Cricetulus griseus: one gene and its partners. The protein of the gene in region 1 interacts with the protein of each later gene in a pairwise test. Links are inferred from orthologs where the notes say so. Each region holds a gene or a part of one and is shown on either strand. Other genes may lie near its edges.

Region 1 (4,046 bases):
TGTGAGAGTGTTGGGTTGCTGGGAACTGGAATTACAGGAAGTTGTGAGCTTCTGGAAGAACAACCAGTGAATGTTCTTAACTGCTGAGCCATCTATCTCTCCAGCCCCCGCCTTTTTGACTTTTTTCCTTTTTAATTTTTAGGAGACTCAGTGTTTCCCTGGGTTTTCTGGATCTCCCCAGCTCCAGCCATCCTCCTGCCTCAGTCTCCCACCATCACACTCAGGAAGGAGAGTTTCATTTTTATGTTGGTGAGAAGAGCCTCTCCAAACTGAGTGCTGAGCACCCTAGCCCAGTCTGTCTTTACTTCTATTTTGAGACGTTTGCCTATCTTGTCTAAGCTATTGTGATCCTCCTGTCTTAGGCTCTAGAGTTCTTAGCATGACAGGCTTGTCCCACAACACCTGGGTTTAACATCACACACAATCTGCCCATTTCTGGTCACCACCACCTTACTCTTCCCCGGGCCCACTGTTATCGCCCCTCCCCCACCACCAGGGTCATGGTCCACCACCAGGCTGTTCCTTCCACGGTCAGCAGATGGCGCAAGGGAACACCTCCAGCAGGTCCAATTCCCCGCAGAACCCAGAACCCTCTGGGGCTTCGCAGTACACATAGCACAGCTGCAGTCCTGCTCAGCCTCCACATCCTGCATACTGTGGTAGTCCCTCCTTGCCTGAGAGTTTTAATATGAAAAGAGCCTCTTCCTCCCCAATTGCTTTTTAGTGGTGGTGTTTTATCACACCAATAGAAACCCTAAGACTGGATTGATTTGTGTGTGTGTGTGTGTGTGTGTGTGTGCGCGCACGTGTGTGTGTGTGTGTGTGTGTGTGTGTGTGTGTGTGTGTGTGTGTGCGCGCGCGCCAGGACCTCACACACTCTAGGCAAAGCCTCTATCACTGAGGTACTCTGAAACTTTTAAAAAACAAACAGAAAAATTGACACAGGTCTTTAACCCAGGCTGGCCTTGAACTCAGTCTACATCTGAGAATGACCTTTGTCTTGACCAAGTGGCCTCTGATTGAGATCTGTCTCTCCTCAGCTTCTGGGGTGCTGAGATCATGGGGTGCACCCTGCCTGGCTTCCTTTTGACCCTCTCTTTCACTTTGCTGTCTTCCTTGGTCACTTCTGTGGCTGTCATTCCTCCACATCAGTTTGTTGAATGAATAAATGTGTGTTTGTTCAGCTCACCTGTCTCTGCAGAATCTCCTTCTCTGCCTGGGCATCCTGCAGGGAAGCCTGAGTGCAAACCAGCTCATCCTCATGGCGGCCCAGGGCCAGCCGCAGCCAGGCGTTCCTCTCTCTGAGGCGAGCTGCCTCGTGCTGTTCAGGCCAGGCTTCTTCCTGACCATCAAAGGGCTCCAATGCCATCTGGTCTCTCTCTTCTTTTTCCAATGGCCTTGGAAAGCTTCGGGAGCGGTGGCGCCAGGCGGCCACAGTGGCCTCAAGGGAGCTCAGCCTGCTCTGCAGGGTCTCAAACACACTGGGTACTGATGTGGCACCAGAGCTGGTATCCAGAGGGGCTGCCTGCAGGGTCTGGTGGCCTTCCACCTTTGACTTCAAGGCTATGGCCCCGTGGGATCCCATGTCACAATCACCCTCAGGCCTGGAAAGACAACCCAGGAACCCCAGCCACCTGAGTCTGAGCAGGGGCTTCAGGGCTAGACCTCAAGGTCCCTGGGAAGGGTGAGCAGGCAGTGAGCTGAGGAGGAAAAGGAAGGGAAGAGAGAGATGGAGGGGGATAGAGGAGGCAATGGACACTAAGAGAGGTGGGCAGGGCAGCTTTGTGAGGGGCTCCTGCTGGAACAGGAAGTAAGCACTAAATTCGTCCTACCGTTTCCCTGGGCTCTGCAGGTCAGGACCAAGGTGCTCCTGAAGTAACTCAGGTTTGGACTCGAAGCTCCCATTGGTGGCCTCCACCTCCTCTGAGCTCTCAGCCACTGGGTCCAGCTCCCCCTGAAAATGACAACCCCACCACGGCAGGTTCTAGTCCAAGCAGGCCTAGGCTCCAGGATCCATGAGGTTGGGTGAAGCAGGAAGAGGGGCACACTTACAGGCTGAGGATGCCTCCCTCGGCGGCTTCGGGGCCTAGTGGCCCGGGCGCTCATTGCCTCTTTAACCCCCTGGTTACAGCCCGCTCTCAGATCTTCCCTTTGTCTCCCCGTATCATTCGGTTTTCACCCTAGGAATTTTTGGTCAACTGCACTGACAGAACATTTGGATACCTCTCCGATGGTGCCCATTGCCTGTCTATTTGCCCCAACCTCTTGCCCCCTTCTCTGGTGCTTTTCCCTCATCAGTGTCCCCCTCTCTCCCCTATGGAGGTATGGGATAGGGACCCCAAGAATCTGCTCTCCTCCCAGGACTCTCCTAGCACCAAGCTCCCTCCCCTGGGAGTGGGGGGCTCCACCCTCTCCTCTGCTCCAGGGCACCTTGGGAAAGGCCTGAGTGCCTGGGCACATCTCAGGTCATCCTGGCCACTGGCTGCTGAGGCTGTGCTGGCCAAGGCTGGCCTGGGAGGGGCTGAGAAACAGGAAGCCTCCTGCCCTGGTCACATGGAGAGTTATTGTCTTGTTTCCTTCTTCAGGATGTCAGCTTCCTCCAGAATGTGGACAGGATGGAGAATTGGGACCCTTGTGCCACTCCAGGCTAACAGCCCAGCCCAAACTTGCAGTCCCTTTCTCTGTTTCCATTTCAGGGTTTCTCAGTGTCCATCCCCAGGTTCACCAGGGCTCACTCTTACTGTAAGCTCTCTCTCTCTCTCATTCTCTCTCTCTCTCTCTCTCTGTGTGTGTGTGTGTGTATGTGTTACTCTCTCTGTCTCTGTCTCTCTCTCTGCGTTTCTCTCTCTGCCTCTCTGTCTCTGTCTCTCTCTGTGTGTGTTTCTCTCTCTCTCTCTCTCTCTCTCTCTGTGTGTGTGTTTCCTCTCTGTCTCTGTCTCTCTCTCTGCGTTTCTCTCTCTGCCTCTCTCTCTCTCTCTCTGTTTCTCTCTCTCTCTGTTTCCTCTCTGTCTCTGTCTCTCTGTCGTGTGTGTGTTTCTCTTTCTCTCTGTGTGTGTTTCCTCTCTGTCTCTGTCTCTCTGTTGTGTGTGTTTCTCTCTGTGTGTGTGTCTGTGTGTTTCCTCTCTGTCTCTGTCTCTCTGTTGTGTGTGTTTCTCTCTGTGTGTGTGTCTGTGTGTTTCCTCTCTGTCTCTGTCTCTCTGTTGTGTGTGTTTCTCTCTCTCTGTGTGTCTGTGTGTTTCCTCTCTGTCTCTGTCTCTCTGTTCTCTCTCTCTCTCTCTCTCTCTCTCTCTCTCTCTCTCTGTTTCTCTCTTTGTGTGTGTTTCTAAAATTAAAAATAACAAACCTGTAGGCGTGGGCTCCAACATTGGAATAAATTTTATTTTTCATTACTTTGTTCTATCTATTTGTGTCTGTGGTGGGTGAGCTGCAAGCACTCGTGGGATCGATCCTCTCCCTCGGTCAGGCGTGGTGGTGGCCGCACCTGCTCTCCGACCCACAACGGTTTTCTTCAAGCAGAGCACCGTCTGTTGGCGCCGGAAAGCTCCCCCGGGACAAGGAGCCTGTCCACGGTATCTGCGGGATTTTCTTTATTTTTCCTTTCCATTTTGGCTTTTAGAAGTGTCTCGTATAGCCCAGGCTAGCCTAACACCTGACGTCATCTTCTGCCCTCTGGAGTGCGGAGATGACAAGTGTGCTCCCCAGCCCCCATCGCGATGGTATTGGTGAGTGCCAACATATGTAAAAGACGAAGCAGAAATACATGACGCAAATCCACGTCAAGTCCCACCGCGTCAATCACCAATCAGCCCCGCCCAGGTCGGCTCCTGTCCTATCTCAGCAGAAGCCTTGACAAGTGTAGTGTTGCTTCAGTCAACCCCGTTCTGTCACACCCATCCCTAACACTACCCCACTTCAGCCCCACTCCTGCCAGTGTGCTCTAAGGCACACCCCCAGGATCCCGGGGCCATTGAACTACATTTCCCAGAAGACGTTACGGCAGCACCGTGCAAACTTCCGGTCAGGAAGATGGCGGCTTCCTAGAACCC
Region 2 (3,949 bases), on another chromosome or scaffold:
GAGTTCTTTTTCCAAAAACTGGCTCTTAACCCATTGCCATTGGCATGGTGAATTTGGTCTCTAAGAGTGATCTTACCCCTATTTCATTTTCCTATCAGTGAGACAAACCAGGATATATTCTGTTGTTCCCTCCCTTTCCCGTGCCTCCCAGGTGTATGTATGTGTGATGGGAAGATCATAGAAAGCCATCTAACTTCAGAAAGCCCATGGTTGCAGGCCTGGGGGAAGGGTGGGGGAAAGCAGCACTCCTAGAATTTAATTCAGATAAACAATGGATTTTTTTGTTTTGTTTGTACAAGCACATCCATTTTATCTTTGGAGCTACTTGCAATAAACTCTTCTTTGTTGTTTATGTGAGGTTCAAATTGCACCAGGGTTCAGGTCTTTTTGTTGTTTGTTTGTTTGTTTGTTTGTTTGTAATGTTCCTTGGCAATAGTAGTGGAATGGAGGTTTTACTGCCCCCTGGTGGCTAACAAGGAGTACAGACCTGGGGAGGTACCAGGATGCAGACAGAAGCCTTTCTCCCCAGGGTGAAAGTAATACTTGCCTGGTAGACTTTTATGGAAGGACAATAGCTTTCCAGGTATGACTGAGCATGAGTTATATCACAGAGTGAGTTCTTCCAGTCAGGGGGCTATGAGTATCTGTGCCAACCCAGGCACCAACATTGGATGGACTGCTGTACAGCTAGGAGACCTTCAACATGCCTTCCTCATCTCTATAACTGGGCAGTTGTTCTGAAGAATGGAGGACATAGGCATGGCAACCTCAGCCCCAGAGCTGGGCCACCTGCCTAAGTGATGCTATTACATCATGTAACAGCATTAAAGTTCCCACTGAAGTGAAAAAACTGGAAATTCAGTATGAAACAAATGTACAGGTAAACTATTCCTGGGATAAACTAGAAGGCAACATCCTTAAGTGTAACTATCAGGTGTTTGTAGCTAGTAGGATTATGGGGTAAGTCCTGCCCCTTTGATCTATGGATGCAAGCATCACTATATTGCAGAGATGGGAACAATTGTCACTCTTTGTCTAAATCAGTGATTCTCAGCCTTCCTTTAATACAATCTCTCAGTTGTGGTGACCCCCCAACCATAAAATTATTTCATTGCTACTTCACAACCATAATTTTGCTAGTTATAAATCGTAATGTAAATATCTGATATGCAGGATATCTGGTATGTGACCCCTGTGGAACCCCAAACAAGTTGAGAACCACGGATCTAATCATACTTTGGAGAGGTAGCTCTGAGTTTGAAAGTGTTTTCTGTCTCTGGGGAGGGTGGAAACCTCCTTAGCAGACTATGGGCTGCTGTTGCAGCTCTGTGGAACTGTCACCTTATTCACTAAAGGGAGAGGATGATTAGTGCGACCTGGCAGAACTGGGAAGGTGGAACTAAACATTTGATGTTTCTAGTGCTTACTCTATCAGTAAGCACTCAGCCCTCAGGGAGGCCTCAGGGAGACAAGCCTGTGACTCGGGAGCTCTGACTTGTCTGCTGTGTAGATGCACCAAAAGTTGAGAAAAACATTCACAGCTAGAGAAAACTCAGGGTCTTTCGGGTTAGGGAACCTTGCTGCCCGCTTTAGGAGAACGGGCACCTCAACACGGAACTTTGAAATCTGATTCTTCTATTGGGGGTTGCTGGCTTTATGCAGGCAAGGAAGCCCCCAGGAAGCCATTGTTGGTTTTGAATCCTTGGTAAGTTATTGTTTGGGGACTTAAGAGAACCCTTGTTCAAATGTTCACAACCAGTAACTAGGCGGCAATATCTCAGTCGGCAGGGGCGGGAGTTGGGGGTGGGGTCGGGGTGGTGCAGGGCAGCAACTCTGATCCCTAAGCTGTAGGCGGACCCAACGGCGCCTTGGACCCAGTCTGCCGACTCTTGGCTGAGACCCATTCCTTGCAGAGAAGGCTGCTGGTCAGGGAGCCAAATCCGTTGACACTTTCAAATCACTTTTACCGTTCCCCAAACCCCCTCCCTGAGTTCAGCTCCAGAAGGAAACATCCTAAGCCCTCATCAAGGGCATTTTCTCCCTTTTTTCTATATCTCGATGTTTTCCCAAACTATTTTTATGCTGACCATATATTCATTTATTTTATTATTTGGCTAAAAGGCCTTTAAAGTTTCCTGAGTAGAAAATACAGTGCTTCTCCGCACATAAGAAAACAAAAAGTTTAGAGATGAACACCTGCCATCCAACCACATCCACAACATCCAAAAGACCGCCATATGCCTCCTTCCCAATTTTTTGCACGCCCACATTTAGCAAATGCCTTATGAGCTGCCTGACCCATGCTGTCCCCTCATCATGGGCAACCGTGGTGGCCAAGACTCAGGGCTTTCTTCCTCCGTGGAATTCCTTCCTGCTTGGCTGTCAGACCTCCCTCCCTCCCTGACTGCCAGTGCACGCTCTTGGGAACACTGCCAGGTACTAACCCCGACAGGGACCTCGCGGAACCCCTGCAGGCAGGATGTGGAGTGGAAGCACAAGTTTGCATTTGTGCATGCTCATGTGTTTCCTCACTCAGGATGAGGGCAAAGGATGGAAGGAAAAAATGAGAAAAAAATAAAGGAAGGACAGAGCAAAGAGTGATGGAGAAACGTCAAAGCTTTGAGATGATGGGAACCAAAAAACCTGGGCACCAAGAAAGGAAGAACCAGGACCCTGCAGTCTGCAGAGGGTGGTCCCGGCGGCGACGTGGTTTCCACTTACCCGACCTGAGCAGCATCGCCCGGTACAGCCCGGTGGCTTCAGCGGGTGCCTTGCCCCACTCGCCCAGCTTCTGCGCCATGCCTTGAGCTGAGTGTCCCGATCGCAGAGTCTGGACTGGGGGCCTGAGCAGCGTCTCAGTGATAGTGAAGCCCTGCTGCTCCACCCGCCCAGGGATCCGGTTACCTTAGGCTTCTGAGACACAGCGGTGGTGTAAGACCGCTGGGAGCACAGGCAGTCTCTGTGCCCGGAGCAGTCAGGGCGCAGCGGGCGTCTGGACACCCTTGCAGCATCACATGGAGCACGGCCCGGCTTCCTTCCAGCCTGGCCTCTTGCCTACCTGGCCCAGTTCTTGGCCTCTGGCCTCTGTGAAGGCTACAAGCAGGTATGGGATTCGGGAGCGCCATTCCTGGGATCCATTCCCAGCCAGGCTGGTGAAAAGAAGCCCAGGGTCCTCTTCTGAGATGAGTGGAGAACGATAGTCCTTCACCCACAGGGTTACTAAGGTGAGGCTTGGCAGGGGTATACATGAAGTGCTAAGAACCCGGCAGTTCGGAGCAAACACTATGCATCTGTACTTTTGACTCGTGGTCTGAGGATGTTGCTCAGTTAGTTGGTAGAGGGCTTGAACGAAGCCTGGGCTTCATTATGCAGCATAGCACAAAAGCTGGGATGGTGGTGCACACCTGTAATCCTAGAGTTTAGGAAGTGGAGGTAGGAGGATCAGGAGTTCAAGGTCATCCTCAGCTACATTGCTAGTTTGAGACCAGACTGGGCTATGTGAGAGTTGTCTCAAAACACAAGCAAGTAAACAAACACACGGCAAAGATTCAAGAAGTACAGAGAAGCAGTGTCTTTGTTGCAGTAGAGAGAAGATGAAGGGGAAAGTTGGTAGGACGCCACAAGAACGATTTCTCTGGCTTTCTGGTGTCCCTTAAACAGCCAGAGGGGAAGACTGAGGGTGCATCAAGCAGTTTTGGAATATGCAGATGTCTACAGCTTTGGTTACCTGCTCTGCCTGCATTGGGCTACAGTGCATCTAAAACAAGAGAGTATAAATTATGCACTCTTTGCGTTCCAGTTCATTTAGTCTTTACAAAGTTGGGTCTCTTGGCATTCTGATTTTACAAAGGAGTGGAAACGGAAGCCCAGAGAGTCTAACCTACTGCTCTGAAGTCACTCATCATGGAGCTAGGGCACAAATTCAGATGGTCTGACCCCAGACACTGAT
Region 3 (4,177 bases), on another chromosome or scaffold:
AGTGGCCAGCATCCACAAGCCCCGCCCTCAGCTCCAATCTCTCTCTGATCCCTTAGGCACAGGCTCTCTCTCTGCTATTACTACTTCTGCCTCTAGACCCCTGGTCCCAATGCCACGCATTGGATGTGCGTCGTGACCTTGACCACGTGAATTCTTTGAGGGCATGGCCTATAACTGAGTGAGAACACCCCTTCTACCCTGCGCTGAGCACCCCAAAAGCCAGGCCCCCCGTACAGAGACACTCACAGACATGTGCATGGATCTGTAAGTTGTCTCCTGGAGACAGTGTGGTTCTGGGAAGAGCCAGAGACCAACCTGACTCCCGCTAAGAAGAGCTCTTGACATGGACAGCCAGCAGAGCCGTGGCTCGGAGCCTGGCAGCTTCTGACTTGTCGCCTATGGCAACATGGCAGGGGTAGTGGCTGTGGAGGGGCTACAAACAAGGGCTAAGCCAGCAGGAGAGGCTGCTCCAAGAGTCTGAGCGGCGTGGGGAGAGGAAGTTAGGCTTCACTGCCACTCATGGCTAGAGCAATAGCGTACGGCAGTGAAGGGAGGGGTGGCCCGCCACCCTTCCAGCGTGCTGAAGCTCACCGCTGTGGGCCTGGCTGCCCTGCAAACCCCCCCCCCCCCCCGCCGCCCATCACCACCACCAGAACATGCTCGGCTTGCTCAGCAGCCGGAAGAACCATGACTTAGGCATTCCAAGCCCTGGGGAAGTTGTGTTTCCATTGTTTCAGCTTCCAGAGACCAAAGCTGGGTCCTTAGCCCACACCACCACCAGTCTCTTCTCCCTTCCTGGCCTCCTCCTCTTCTTCCCAGCCTCTCCCTCCGCGTTGCCTTTTCCTCCTCCTGCTCCTCTTTGATCTTTCTCCCCGGCCTCCTCACCTTCCTTTCACCTCTCTGTCTCCCTCCAACTTGTCTTCTCTTCCTCCTTTTCCCTCCCTCCCTTCCTCCTCTTTACCCTTCCTCCATACCCCCTCCTCCTCCCCTTCCTCCTCCCCTTCCTCCTCCACCTTCTCTCCCTCCTCCCTCCCTCCCCCCTCCCTCTGGCTTTCTTTCCCTTCCTTCTTTCTCCATCCCTTCCTCCTTCTCTCCTCTTCTCCTCATCCTATCCTCCTTTGTTCTCCTTCTCCCTGGACCTATGTGCCCTGCCTCCTGCTTCTAACTCACTTCTCTGTGGTGAGAGGAGACAGAGAAGGAAGCCTGAGGTCTAAGAGAGCCCAGGTGAAGAGCAGCTGCAGATGTCCAGATGGACATTACAAGCCAGAGTACACAGCTGTACCAGGAGACAGAAGGACAAACACACACACACACACACACACACACACACACACACACAGAGAGAGAGAGAGAGAGAGAGAGAGAGAGAGAGAGAGAGAGAGAGAGAAGGCTCAATTAGAGCCAGGACTTTCCCAAGTCTAAAAACTCCAGAATGCTTGACAAATTCAAAAACAGAAACAAAACAAAACACCAGCCCTTGCTCTGGATTGATTGCTTTGCCTTGGGGCCTGAAAGGGAACCACAGCCCTCACCACAGTCCTGCCAGGCAGAAGGTGGCGGACGGACCCCTACGGAATAGCACCCTGGGTTCTGTTCATTTTCTGCCTCTCCTATGACCACCTGCCACCTCTACTGTGACCCAGAGCTGTCTGTCTGCAGCGATTCCGCACAGGTCACAGCAACCTGTTTACAAACAGCTAGAGTTCCAAGGCTCTCTTAGGACAAGGGACTCGGGATGCATCCAAATGGACAGCAAAGCCTTGGTCAGAGAATCCGTCCCTCCCTTTCTATTTATGCCGATGTAAACACTCGCCAAGGAAACAAGCCATGCAGGCATGCGCAGCCCTGCAGGCCCTCGGGTGGCTGCAAAAGGCAACTGGAAAGTCACATGTCATAACACTGGAAAGTACATATGCAGCTATTCTTAGGCTTGGAATGTATACACTGTCTGCCTGCCCGGCAGCCCTTGCACCGAGCTCTAGGAGCTGTGAAAGTGCCTGCAGCATAAACAAACCCAGAACTCATCTAGGACAGAGAATTTGCCAACAGAAGGAAAGGCCTGGGGTTTATGGTTTTATTCCAAGACTAAGGTAGAAACCTTCTGAGGGGACAAGACAAACCCGGCATCCGTGGATGTCACTGCAGCAAAACAAGGTAGGTGTCCCTAACTTGTCATTCCTCAGCAGGCAGACTGTCCATGTCACCAAGGAGCCACAGAAGTGTTTGGTGTTCTCTACTAATTACATCTTTAAAACAAAACCCAGAGACCATGCGGTCTTCTCTCTAGATCTGGCCACAGCCCGCTGTAATCCCTCACTTCTGTCCAGTGACCAGAAGACCACACCCCCAGAATGTCAGCCTTAGGGAATAACTAACTCCAAGAAAGATTTGTAGACAAGTTTACTGGCAAATCTGCTAATGATCTGGACAAAGGCATACATTACTTGTCAAATGCATGGACTGCTTTTTTTGTTTGTTTGTTTATTTTTGTGCCAGGCTAATATGTGAGTCTCTGACCATCAACTTTGGTTGGAAGAGGCCTAAGATTAGCTGGAGATGCTACATGTCTTTTATCTCTGAGGCTGTTCACAGCCTGAAGTAGATCACTTTGTGGTCTGCGATGAGGGTGGTTTCCTCTTCCCTCTTCAGTGTGCTCTGTTTGTGAACCCATTGACTTGGTAAATAGATACAATGAACGAGGCTTGGAGCCCCCACAGCTAACCCCTCTAGTACACGATGCCAGAAAGCCTTGACCTTGCTTCCATTTGGGGCTTCCCTCCTTCTTTGTAGGATGGATGAGGAGCTACCAGATGGGGTTGTCTTCAAAGACGACAACTTCTCCTCTGACTTGTTGAGACAGCTCAATGACTTAAGGCAGAGCAAGACCCTGACCGATGTGAGCATCTGCTCCGGAGCCTGGGAGGTCCCTTGCCACCGCAATGTGCTGGCCTCCAGCAGCCCCTACTTCAAGGCCATGTTCTGCAGCCACTTCCGGGAGAGCACGGAGGCCAAAGTGTGGCTGAAGGGCATCAACTCCAGCACTCTAGAGCAGGTCGTCACGTATGTGTACACGGGAGAGGTGCACATCACAGCTGCCAACGTCCTCCCCCTGATGGAGGCAGCCGCCATGCTGCAGTACCCCAGGGTGTTCGAGGCCTGCTCATCATACCTGCAGAGCCAGCTGGCCCCCAACAACTGCCTGGGCCTGGTCAGACTCGCGGAAATCTTAAACTGTGAAAGCCTTAAGAAGAGAGCCAGGGAGGTGGCCCTGACTTGCTTCCCAGAGGTAGCAGCGTCGGCTGACCTGAAGGAGCTCTGTGCCATGGAGTTGAGAGACTACCTAGGAGATGACAGGCTCTGCGGCGAGGAGGAAAAGGTGTTTGAGGCCCTCATGGCTTGGGTCAAGCATGACCTCCAGGCCCGATGGCCCTACATGCAGGAACTTCTGCAGCAAGTCCGGCTGCAGTACATACATCCTGCCTTCTTTCACCATTTCATTGCCAACGACGCTGTCCTCCAGTCGTCGCCCGCGTGCCGGGCCATCCTGGAGGCGGCCAGGAAGCAGATGTTCTCTTTGTACAGCCCCAGTGCCCAGGACTGCAAACTCGTGTGGCACGAACCCCCGAGGAGCTGCTACCAAGACTGCCTCCTTGTCCTGGGGGGCCAGAAGGACAACCAGCAGACCACCAGGGATGTCTTGCTCTACAGTGTACACACTGGCCAGTGGCAGAGCCTGGCCAAACTCCCCGCGCGGTTGTACAAGGCCTCGGCTGTCACCTTGCACCGCAGCGTCTACGTGCTCGGGGGCGTGGCTGTGAGGGAGGGCAAGAGTGCCGTCAGTGCCAGCGTGTATGTCTTCTCTCTGAAACTCAACCAGTGGAGACGCGGGGAGCCCATGCTGGCAGCCCGCTACTCTCACAGAAGCGCCGCCCACCGGAATTTCATCTTCTCCATCGGGGGCACCGGAGAAGGGCAGCAGCTCCTGGGTTCCATGGAGAGGTATGACAGCGTCTGTGATGTCTGGGAGAGCATGGCTGACATGCCAGTGGCCGTGCTCCACCCTGCGGTTGCCGTGAAGGACCAAAGGCTCTATCTTTTTGGGGGTGAGGACATCATGCAGAACCCTGTGCGCCTCGTCCAGGTAACCAGCCGGTCCTTCTCTCCACGCTAGGACCAA
Region 4 (3,965 bases), on another chromosome or scaffold:
ACAGCTGGGAGTGGGCACAAACTTGCTCAGTGCTGTTAGCCCTGTGACCAAAATACTCCTTGGGAACCTAGAGGGGTCTGTCTTCTAGAAGAAAGACAAGCATAGGTGCATGGTATGCCTACATGCATGCATGTTCTCTCTCTCTCTCTCTCTCATCTCAGGCAGCATGATGAAGGCTGTATGAACTACTTGAAGCAGGAGGAACCTTCTTGTACTGGTTGAAAAAACTCTTAGAGCTAGAGCTGGTCTGTACCTTGAAGGTGAGGAGCCATGTTCCAACAATAGAGGGAGGATCGTGGAGTTGGAAAAGTGCAGGGTGTGTTGTGTAGAATGGCAGAATATTTGGTAGAGTAAGGGCCTAGGGTGGATGATGACAGGCAGGTGCTTGAGGTAAGCCTAAAGTTTATGGCTAGATTATGAGTAATTGCATGCTGTTTATTGGAATCTGAATTTGTATTCTCTGGCTTTGACAATACATGATTTTTCAGAAGAGATGGACAGTTTGTGATGTTTTATGGAAGTACATAGCAGAAGCATCTTAGAGTCAATAGACTTAAGGTTCTGAGGTCAGGCAGTGGGTACAAACCATACATTCACATGCCAGTCAAGTGCTCTGGACTGTTCACTAAAGCTCTTTGAGTTTGCTTCCCTGTCTGACCATTGCCTGAGATGTTGTGGGCATTAACTGGCACCAGCATTACTTGGCACAATGTGATGAATAACACTAGTGCCCATTTCTGACCCTGGGACTAAACAAGAACTGTCAGGATGTAGTAGCTATTTTCACTATGACTTCTGCAGAGACCTTTTGTAGACCATTTGGAGTTTCCTTGGGCCAGCCTGCTTATTTCATCCTTAATAAGAAATACCCATGACTAGTGACAGAGTGGAATGTTCCGGTAGCCATATATATATATATATGGACAGGGTTTCTCTGGGTACTCTCTGTAGACCTGGAACTCTCTCTGTAGACCAAGAACTCTCTCTATAGACCAAGGTGGCCTTAAGTTCAGAGATCTGCCTGCCCCTACTTGCCTCCATAGTTCAGGGATTATAGATGAATTCCACCACTGCTTAGCTTGACTTTACTTTTAACTCTGCCTATTCAGAACACTTTTGGCTCTAATGAAAAACTTTTATAGATCATTTTATTTAGGAATTAAAAATGGAGTCATCATATCTTCAAAAGTGCCTGGGGACATGCCTGACTCAAGGTCTCGCTGAAGTGGCAAGAGTCCGCCCATTGGATCCAATAGAATATTTAGCCTTGTGGATTTATAAGTACAAGCAAAATGTGATCATGGAGCAATTGGTAAATATGGATCTCCTTTCAGGAAATTAGAAGAGCATGATAATTGGTTCATCTTGTTTACATTTTATGTTCAATATTGTTTTTCCATTACAATAATGTTTATTATATGAAAACTTTGGACAGTATGTGAATGCAGAGAGGAGAGAAAACAGAAAGAAGGCTTCTGTTTTGATTTTAAGTATTTTCAACCCAGTAGTGTCTTTTCCTGACATGTTTGTCTGTAGATTGGTTTCATTTTTCTTTATATTTGATGTATAATCTTAATTGTGTGTTCTTTGTTTGGCTAAATCATAAAAATCCCCCAAATTGTTGTATAGTTTCCAAATGAATAGAGCATTATGTTCTTAGCCCTTCTTTTATTGCTGGTGGTTGAGATGCCTCTGAGACTGTGTTAACAGATTGGTCTCTAATAAGTTGTGTGCTGTTGCTTTTTACCAATTGCTAGAGACAGAAAGAGATGATTGAGTTGGAGCATGAGAGAGAATTAGCACTGATGGAGCAGGAAATGCTGGAGCGACTCAAAGCTGAGGAACTCTTATTTCAGCAGGTAAGACAAGCACTCAAATATGATGGAAGTTAACAGTGTCACCCTTGGTGTGCTACAACCCACATCTGGAAATACTCCCAGGCTCTGGTCATTCAGACATTGCTCCCTAGTATCCCCATCCTTTTTTTTTTTTTTTTTTTTTTTTTTTTTTTTTTTTTTTTTTTTTTTGTGAAGAGACAGTGCCACGAGGAAACAGAACAATTCAGAGAATAGTCAACAGCACCACTGCTGAGCTGGTGCTCATTTATAGCCCAGGCAGTCTCTCCAGGAACAGTGGTGAGTGTGAGGTGTAGAGGGTAAGAAGGGGGATGGTGAGTGAGCATTATGCTTTAACGGGGTTTGTGAGGGGAAGGGAAATGGGTTTTATTTTGATTCAGGAACACATGGAACACGTAATAGAAAAATCGAAAAAACCATCTAAAACCTTCTATCCACTGTAAAAAGAGGCAATGGGCCTGGAAAACAAGTGGATGAACCTTTCTGTTATTGCAGCTCAGAGACAAAGCATAGGTGGCTAGGTGTAGGTGGGTGTATTGGCTTGTGACACAAAGTTGAAAGCTGACTTGGTGTGACTTTATGAGGTAAGAATCAACCAGGACCATATACTTAAGAATCAAGTGATGAGGTAGGAGGGATGGAAAGAATGATGAAGGTCTGAAATAATACCTTAGGAGGATGGAAGGGTAGGTTGTACATCCCTGACCTAAAAAAAAAAGAAACCCAAAACAAGAAATATTTCTAAATATGTAACTTTTTGCGTGCTTACATGGTGTCAAGGAATGGAAAATTACACATCGTTAAACTTTGTTTCACATAGCAAAATGATAAAATGTGGTATTTGATTACTTTCAGTTAGAAGATAAAATATAACTGAATTTCATGTTGTCTTGGGTACCTTACCTGAGTCATCTTACTACAGTCTTAAGCATTTCTGAAACAAGTATGATGTAGTATTTGGAGGCCAAGCATCTGTAGTAGTGCTGCCCACTTGGACCTGTCCTCCTCTACAGCTAGATCTGTCTCTACTGAAGAGAAGCAGGGAGTCTCAGCTGTTCTTCTTTCCCAAGACAATGAGTTCACTATGGGGATATACTTCACAGCCTTTGATGCGTCTACTTCATTCTACTGGAATAAAATTTTAGTTACACTAGAAATTCAACATTTTCATAGCTGTGTTAGCCAGCAAAGCTAATCTTCTGCATGTTGAACCCAAAGCATTTCATTTGCAGGGGGTGTGGAATGTAGGATGACATTCTACAAGAGATGTTATGGTTAGTTAAAGAAGTGGATGGGTGGGCAGAAGTAGATAAGAGAAGGAGAGCTGAACCAACAGAAAAGGGCTTAACAGGGAGTGTGTTGAGATGAGAAGTAGCAGATCATTCTTTTTCTCTTGCTCCCTGAAGTGTTTGAGTTGGAGGCTGAGGATTTGGCTTCTTCCTCGAGGTCATTTACAACTCAGCACTGATGGGTTTCCAAGAGTAATTCATGGACACCTTTGCAGCATCCTCTCCTAAACAAAAGCCAGAGAAAAAGCTGGGCAGGTGGTACACACTTACAATCCCTGTTCTGGGAAGGCAGAGGGAGGAGATCTTAAGTTCTGGCCTAGCCTAGGTTACATAGTGAGACTGTCAAAAATTAAATAGAGTAAGCAAACAAAACTCAACAAAAGCTGAGAGAAAATGCTCAAAAGCATTTGACTTGTTTTTAGTTGACAGCTGATATTGTTCCTAGTGTCAACAAATTGATCAGTGACTAAAAACAAACAAACACAAAAACAAACAAAAATAAAAGAGACATGACTGCTCCTAGGTATGGTGGAGGAGAAAGTTTACGGGGAGAGTATAGCCAGAGGCAGGTACATCAGAGTCCAGAGTGAACATGATCCTGAGCTGGGTCACATGAGGAGAGGGACAAGGGGAGAGCCGGGAGAGTAGAGAGTAAACAAAAAGGGTTTGGTAACCAATATGTCTGGGTTATATAGACAAGGGCATCTGGGGAAAGGGCACCCCAACCCCTGGGCTGGAAAAGTTTAGGAAGTGGGCTATGTCAGCCATACCCTGTAACAGTTAGGGACTGAGGAATACTAGGATAATGTAGTGGCCAGGT

Evidence for each region.
Region 2: the proteins of Ushbp1 (region 1) and Fam107a interact in binary tests that used the Homo sapiens proteins (3 or more experiments, as listed by UniProt). The two-hybrid records come from large-scale screens. The link is inferred for Cricetulus griseus from reciprocal best matches to the Homo sapiens genes USHBP1 and FAM107A.
Region 3: the proteins of Ushbp1 (region 1) and kelch-like protein 38 interact in binary tests that used the Homo sapiens proteins (3 or more experiments, as listed by UniProt). The two-hybrid records come from large-scale screens. The link is inferred for Cricetulus griseus from reciprocal best matches to the Homo sapiens genes USHBP1 and KLHL38.
Region 4: the proteins of Ushbp1 (region 1) and Dydc1 interact in binary tests that used the Homo sapiens proteins (3 or more experiments, as listed by UniProt). The two-hybrid records come from large-scale screens. The link is inferred for Cricetulus griseus from reciprocal best matches to the Homo sapiens genes USHBP1 and DYDC1.

The regions. Positions count from the first base shown.
Region 1 is NW_023276806.1:247,620,572-247,624,617, forward strand, and holds the start of Ushbp1 (Usher syndrome type-1C protein-binding protein 1), read right to left. Parts: upstream 2,801-4,046; 5' UTR 2,431-2,800; intron 2,181-2,430; 5' UTR 2,107-2,180; coding exon 2,053-2,106; intron 1,955-2,052; coding exon 1,833-1,954; intron 1,605-1,832; coding exon 1,190-1,604; intron 1-1,189.
Region 2 is NW_023276807.1:166,707,002-166,710,950, forward strand, and holds the start of Fam107a (actin-associated protein FAM107A), read right to left. Parts: upstream 2,801-3,949; coding exon 2,722-2,800; intron 1-2,721. UniProt on the Homo sapiens protein: Stress-inducible actin-binding protein that plays a role in synaptic and cognitive functions by modulating actin filamentous (F-actin) dynamics. Mediates polymerization of globular actin to F-actin. Also binds to, stabilizes and bundles F-actin.
Region 3 is NC_048603.1:29,296,805-29,300,981, forward strand, and holds the start of kelch-like protein 38, read left to right. Parts: upstream 1-1,377; 5' UTR 1,378-2,154; intron 2,155-2,790; 5' UTR 2,791-2,791; coding exon 2,792-4,141; intron 4,142-4,177.
Region 4 is NW_023276807.1:179,045,273-179,049,237, reverse strand, and holds the start of Dydc1 (DPY30 domain-containing protein 1), read left to right. Parts: upstream 1-1,165; coding exon 1,166-1,312; intron 1,313-1,757; coding exon 1,758-1,859; intron 1,860-3,965. UniProt on the Homo sapiens protein: Functions as part of axonemal radial spoke complexes that play an important part in the motility of sperm and cilia. Plays a crucial role during acrosome biogenesis.